Macaca mulatta: one gene and its partner. The protein of the gene in region 1 interacts with the protein of each later gene in a biochemical or structural test. Links are inferred from orthologs where the notes say so. Each region holds a gene or a part of one and is shown in the gene's direction. Other genes may lie near its edges.

What was found.
Region 2: the proteins of DNM1L (region 1) and FIS1 form a complex in vitro, tested with the Homo sapiens proteins (2 studies listed by BioGRID). The link is inferred for Macaca mulatta from reciprocal best matches to the Homo sapiens genes DNM1L and FIS1.

The regions. Positions count from the first base shown.
Region 1 is NC_133416.1:34,936,650-34,939,870, forward strand, and holds part of DNM1L (dynamin-1-like protein), read left to right. Parts: intron 1-225; coding exon 226-258; intron 259-2,039; coding exon 2,040-2,216; intron 2,217-2,384; coding exon 2,385-2,494; intron 2,495-3,221. UniProt on the Homo sapiens protein: Functions in mitochondrial and peroxisomal division.
Region 2 is NC_133408.1:48,509,830-48,513,792, reverse strand, and holds the start of FIS1 (mitochondrial fission 1 protein), read left to right. Parts: upstream 1-1,159; 5' UTR 1,160-1,253; coding exon 1,254-1,298; intron 1,299-2,135; coding exon 2,136-2,268; coding exon of another isoform or gene 2,269-2,312; intron 2,313-3,963. UniProt on the Homo sapiens protein: Involved in the fragmentation of the mitochondrial network and its perinuclear clustering. Plays a minor role in the recruitment and association of the fission mediator dynamin-related protein 1 (DNM1L) to the mitochondrial surface and mitochondrial fission.

The DNA.
Region 1 (3,221 bases):
TACCATGCTAAGGTCAGATCACTTTAGTCTAATATATATTTTAAAATTATATAACAATGCAATGCAGAGTTTATATTGTTGACATGCTTTTGCTTGCAATATAGAAGATGCACACAGAAAAAGAAGTAATTTAAAGAGGAAATTATCCTGCACTTTTAAAATTTCAACCCATTGGTATTTAAATTTTGCTTGTTAAATTGCATGTTTTAACATATCTTTCAACAGTTAATTCAGGACAGCAGAAGAGAAACTAAAAATGTGAGTCTCTTGCTTCAGAATGGAAATGTTGGTACCTCTGGTTCTCACTGAAACACTGTCTGTAACACCATTAAATAACCTGTTTGTGTAGTGGTATCTATCTCTTGTCTGTGTTATGTTCTTAATGTTCCTTTTATCTAACCGGTGGAAGATGGCGTTAAACGTTTTAATTAGTAACAATAATAGGCTTTCTCACTGTTTTCTGTGACCTTCAAGAATAGTTTTAAATTTTGATAGGAAATTTAACATATTTTGATAGGAAATTCAGAGATTTCCTAGATTTCAGAGATGGAATTGTATTTTTGGACATTTCCTTTCCTCTTTAAAGATCTTGAGATCTGTTCAGTACTAATAGATAATCCTCTAATCTAATGCTTCTTTCTCATGCTTCCAGTTAGTTTGCACTTGTTACCCTATATATAGCTTCACATATGCTTCAGAAGCTTAAGCAAATTAAAAACAAACAGGGGGACTGTGAGAGTTTGAGACTGTTTTCAATTCTTAATAACCATTTTAGAGGAAAATTAAATAATGTATAAATTATTCAGACTCATTGCTATTTCAAGATTTTCTGCCATTTAGCTCCTTTCCTTAATTATCCAGATTTAAAGTTCTGAACTTGAGATAAAGGTTTATAAATGTCTTATCTTCTCTCAGCTCCACTGTGCTCAGATATTAAGCAAACCATCTAAATCACTGCACAAGTTTTATTTCATTCATGACATCACACTGAATGTGCTCACTCTCCTTAAGATTTCATTTGGTATGTCATTCATGTATAAAAACCTAATTACTCATTTTTAAGTTAATGTGTAATATAAATATACTAATATTTATAGTTCACCTTAACTGACATATTAAAGACAGATTTAAGCAAGTATTTCGATTCAGAATGCTACCCCAAACTACCATTTTTCTTACTGCCATAATCCTCTATTAAATTTATATAATCCATTTTTAGATTGTAAGGTCTTAAAGAATAACTAAAAAAAAAAAACCCTCTTAAATGTTGATGAATTATGTTTTTCCATTATAAAGTCATTTTTGACTTTTAGAAGTCAAGATTAATAAATTTTCTAGAAAATAAGGTGTAAAAGCACTTGTGATTAATGTGATAGCACTAGATTTCTTTCTGCAAATCCTTAAGAGTACAGAGGTTGAGGGGATTTCTGTTGTGTTTATCACATTCCACATTTGAAAGAACTCATAGTGACTGTCAGCCTACGAAAAGCAAATGTAGTCTTGCTTTTTGTTAAAGAGTTCCTACTGATACCTTATGGCATTTTGTTGACTATAGGAATGTAAATTGACTTGAAATACATAAACTCTTAACTTCAGAGACATAAGTTCATGGAACTTTTAGAGTTTAACAGTGTTTATGATTACTTAAATTAAACTGAATGGCAGTTCTTTGTGCTTTTAACGAGTAGTTTTGATTTTAAGGGCAGCATATACTTTTTCTACAATTTAGTGTTTGAAGGGTGGGAGAAGAGGAATGATTTTGAAAAGTTGGCGAGCGAATGATAAAGAAAAAAGGAATTAAATAGAACATAAATTGGTTGATGCCTTGCAAACAATTTACAGCAGAACCTCTTATTTAGCTAGGTCAGGGTTTCAGTTATACATGCTACCTACTGTCTCCTTCTGACCTCATTATCTGTATGAATAAACTTTAGATGGGTACTGGATGTATATTGACTACTGTCAAATAAAATGAACTTCGTTTTAGTTAAGGTCAGATATGATGTGGTTGGTATAGGTTTTGGAACATGTTTTTTCAGGTTGCATCTGGAGGTGGTGGGGTTGGAGATGGTGTTCAAGAACCAACAACAGGCAATTGGAGAGGAATGCTGAAGACTTCAAAAGCTGAAGAGTTATTAGCAGAAGAAAAATCAAAACCCATTCCAATTATGCCAGCCAGTCCACAAAAAGGTCATGCTGTGAATCTGCTGGATGTGGTAAGCCATGACACTTTGGTTTAGGTCTAATAAGATGACCAAGTTAGTAGGAAATTGATTAGACAGAAAGAACTAAAGTCTCAAAAACTTACATAACTTTCAGATGTTAAATGCTGCCATTTCAAAGTGTCACAAAAGTAACATTTTTCCCCCCTCATCCCTATTTAGCCAGTTCCTGTTGCACGGAAACTATCCGCTCGGGAACAGCGAGATTGTGAGGTTATTGAACGACTCATTAAATCATATTTTCTTATTGTCAGAAAGAATATTCAAGACAGGTTAGTATTACTTAATATAAATCACAGGCTCTAATACTGCTGGATGATTCTATGATCTGTTTTGAAAAATACATGTATTTTTTAAATTTTAGGTTTTTATTCTAAATCATCGAGTGGATTCTCTGATAGTCCTTTGGTAACTTGTAGCAAGACTCAGTTTGTTAACACAGAATGACTAGGACCTCATGTATCAGCTAGAAAAAGCTATTAAAATGAATCTTTTGTTCTATATGGCTGCCACATTTTGAGTCATTTAAGAAAATGTTTTTTTCCTAAATTTTAATTCAGTAGTTTCATTAACTATTTTGGCTAGTAACACTGACTTGCCTTTTTAATTTAACTTGGTTTTCCAAAGCATCAAAACGAGTGTCTTTTACTAAGAAATATGTATACGGTTTCTCGTTCAGAATGTTTTTGCATGTGTCTACTCCCCTACTGCATCTTCTCCTTCATGTTGCCTGGTATGTCATTTCATGCAGTAATAGGGAGAATACACATTTAGTTGTATGAAGTGATCTATTAGAAAATATTCTGTATCCAGTTTTTGGTAATCTGTCAGCAGCTAAGATGAATTTTACTGCACAGAGTAATAAATATACTTCATATTGAAATAAATGATTTTGTCTGTAGAACCATTTATCTTTTTTGCTTGTAGACTTTTTAAACCTGTAGCTTGTGGTAGAAATAATAGTTCCTAGTGTTTTACACTGTGGGCCTGAAGAAAAAA
Region 2 (3,963 bases), on another chromosome or scaffold:
GTGGCGGGCGCCTGTAGTCCTAGCTACTCAGGAGGCTGAGGCAGGAGAATGGCGTGAACCCAGGAGGCGGAGCTTGCAGTGAGCAGAGATCGCGCCACTGCACTCCAGCCTGGGCAACAGCGTGAGACTCCGTCTCAAAAAAAAAAAAAAAAAAAAAGAAAGTTACTACCTACCCAGTCCCCTCACTGCACAGAAACTGAAGCCAGATGTGTCCACACCTTTCTCCTTCCCATGCTCTGATAGCTCGTCTCTGCTAAGCTCCCCATTGCCCGTGACCCCATGTGGCAGGTTTCCCGCCTGGGGTGCACTCAGAAAATGGTTTATGTAAATAATATTGAAAAGATTGGACCTTCTCCGCAAAGAATGGGGCCGTTGCTTTTTGAAAAACTTCCTGTTGATAGTATCTCCTATGACTACCCCAATCTCTGGCTGTGTGGTTTACAGATCCAGTTGCCTCTGCTCTTGCATCGTGAGAGTCAGCAGAGGCCCAAGAAACCCCGATACTAGTTTGCTGCTGTTGGTGGGTTTTTTGAGACAAGGTCTCAGTCGCCCAAGCTGGAGTGCAGTGGAGTGCAGCCTCAAACTCCTGGGCTCAAGCGATCCTCCTGCCTCAGCCGCCCCAGTAGCTGGGAGTACAGGTGCACGCCACCACGGTGGTTAATTTTTTAAAACATTTTGTAAAGATAGGGTCTCGCTGTGTTGCTCAGGCTGGTCTTGAACTCCTGGCCTCCAGCGATCTTCCCGCCACGGCCTCCCAAGGTGTTGGGGTTACAGGCGTGAGCCACGGGCTCGGTCCCCAGTTCTAGTTACGATTTTGTTGCAGGCGGTGAAAAGTCACGTGGCCTCCAAAGTCCTAGATTTCTGAGGGGCGTCAGCTTGGCAGCCTAATGTAAAGTGATCTCCGACTGGCTACCCACCCTCCGCTTTTTGCTCTTTTCATCCTGGGGGCTAACCGCTAAGACATAGCCTCCAGTTTCCCTCGGGAAGCCTCCGCGGAGGAAGGCACCGGCTAGGGCATCCGGGAAGACCCATCTGGGGAAAGTCTCCCTACGTGCAGTCTGCGGGCTGAAGGGGCCGGAGGAGCCTGCGTACTAGCGTCCCGCTGGCCCTGCTGCGCTGAGAGGAAGGGGCGGGGCGTCGCCAGGTCGTGCCCGCATCCGCCGGACGCCGGAAGTGGCTCTCCGCCCCTGCCACTGGGCCATGGAGACTGTGGCACAGTAGATTGTAGTGTGAGGCTCACGGGGGCAGTGGCCATGGAGGCCGTGCTGAACGAGCTGGTGTCTGTGGAGGACCTGCTGGTGAGGCCTGGCCCGGACAGAGGGAAAGGGAAGGTCGGAGGGCGGGTCCTGAGGAGAGTCAGGTATGGGCCGAACCCTCCTCCCGGCATCGGCTTGGCGGAGGGAAGCCGAACTACGGCTCCCGGCAGCCTCCACAGTGTCTGGCTCCTGCCCGGAGGGCCCGCTATGCCGCAGAGGCTCCTGGGAGTTGTAGTGTCCTGAGCCCCCACACCTCAGAGTACGGGCCTGTTGCCCGACAGTGGTTAGACTGACGGGTTCTGGGATTATGCAGGAGCTGTGAGCTCAGGGCGCTCCTCCAGCGGTGGAGGAATACAGTGACCATCAGAAGGCGTCACCTATTACTGCGTCCGGCGCGGTGCTAAGGCATCGCATGCCAGATCTCAGTCCTTGTAGCTCTAGGAGGTAGGCACTACTTCTATTCCTGGACAGTAAAAGGTCCAGGCCCGGCAGGGTGGGGCAGGATGGGGCCAGCAGGCTCAAATGAGGACCGCGTGGGCTGTTGTTGAGCAGTTCTGACAGTGTGTTTACTGTTTGGCCGCCGGGGTCAGCTGCTCCGGGAGCGGTGCCTGGAGCTGCCACCAGGTGGCATCTCCGCTCGGTACCGCCGGGGGGAGGGGAGACCAGGGGCATCTGTCCCAAGAGCTGGCCCACAGGCCAGGAGGAGCCGAAAGCCTGGGTCCCGTGCATGGAGATAGCAGACGCTGGGGTGCCAGATACCGAGACCCACGAGGGAAAGGAGGCAGAGCCAGGGATATGGGGTGTGACTGACACCATGTCCAGATAGAGAATGGTTGACGCCCTTCATTTCTAAATGATTCCTTTCTTCCCCTGTGGCAGAAATTTGAAAAGAAATTTCAGTCTGAGAAGGCAGCAGGCTCGGTGTCCAAGAGCACGCAGTTTGAGTACGCCTGGTGCCTGGTGCGGAGCAAGTACAATGATGACATCCGTAAAGGCATCGTGCTGCTCGAGGGTGAGGCGCTGTACTCTCCCCTTCCCGCTGCCATCTGGGCTGCTGTACGATGTGGGCCCCCGTAGTCCAGGCACCTCTCAGTTGTCTCCCGTAGATTTACTGCACCAAGGGCTATACTTAGCTTGACGTCTCCCAGTGAACTTTTGGCTACTTACCGCCCACCATTGTTTTGCCAGACGGAGTCGTAGCTTGTCATTTCCCCCAGGACTATCTTGATCTGGGAAAGTGACTTGAGGTCACGCAACTAATAAGTTCATGGCTGAATTGGGACTAGAAGCTCCCGTTTTGTGAGACCTAGGCCCATGCCCTTCCCCCCAACACCACCACCGTGTTGCTTAGTTAGCAGCTATTGAGAATCTTTTGTGGCATGGAAGAGGTCCAGAGGACTGTCCTACAAAATTGTGAGCACATAGTGCTTTTTGTTTTTTTTGTTTGAGACGGAGTCTTGCTCTGTCCTCCAGGCTGGAGTACAGTGGTGCTGTCTCAGCTCACTGCAGCCGCCCCCTCCCGGTTCAAGCAATTCTCCTGCCTCAACAACAGGCGCCCACTACCATGCCCGGCTAATTTTTGTATTTTTAGTAGGAACAGGGTTTCACCTTGTTGGTCAGGCTGGTCTCGAACTCCTGACCTCAGGTGATCTGCCCACCTCGGCCTCCCAAAGTGTTGGGATTACAGGTGTGAGACACCGCGTCCAGCCAGATAGTGCTTTTTGGATTGGACCCCTATTTCCCATTGGTTTTGTGTGGGTCATCATTTGTCAGAGACCACAATACTTAACCACTTAATTTCTCTGTACCTCCTTTCTTTTGTTCAAGTAATCATTTATAAGCACACAGTCAGTGTACAGCCATCCCTCTGTAGCCATGGGGGATTGGTTCTAGGAACCCTGCCCCACAAATACCAATAGCCATCCAAGTCCCTTATATAAAATGGTGTGGTATTTACATGTAACCTGTGCACCTTCTCCTACATACTTTCAATCATCTGTAGATTACTTATAATACCAAATACAATGTAAATGCTGTGTAAATAGTATACTGTATTGTTTAGGGAATAATGGCAAAAAAAAAAAAGATCTGTTCATGTTCAGTACATATGCAACTATCTTTTTTTTTTTCCCTGAGTATCTTTGATCCATGTTCGTTGAATCCATGAATACAGAATGCCAACTGTGCTAGCAAAGGATGCCTATTGAAAATCTATAAAAATGGCCAGGCGCAGTGACTCACACCTGTAATCCCAGCACTTTGGGAGGCCAAGGCAGGCCGATCACGAGGTCAGGAGTTCAAGACCAGCCTGATCAACATGGTGAAACCGTCTCTACTAAAAATACGAAAATTAGCTGGGCGCGCACCTGTAATCCCAGCTACTCAGGAGGCTGAGGCAGGAGAATCACTTGAACTCGGGAGACAGGTTGCAGTGAGCCAAGATCACGCCATTGCACTCCAGCCTGGGCAACAGAACGAGACTCCGTCTCAAAGGAAAAAAAAAATCTATAAAATATTCTTTCTTAAAAGATACAAATAATTTTACCCTATGTTTGTCTACTTTGGCAATTCAGATTTTCAGGTTTATTCTACAGCAGGGTGTAGCTGTAGAAGAAACAGCCTCTCTAAGTGATTATCAACAAATTCTAGTGCATAGAGTACAGTTATCCTCTGGGAAGTCTCTGAATTAAGAAAGTTAGGTGGGGCC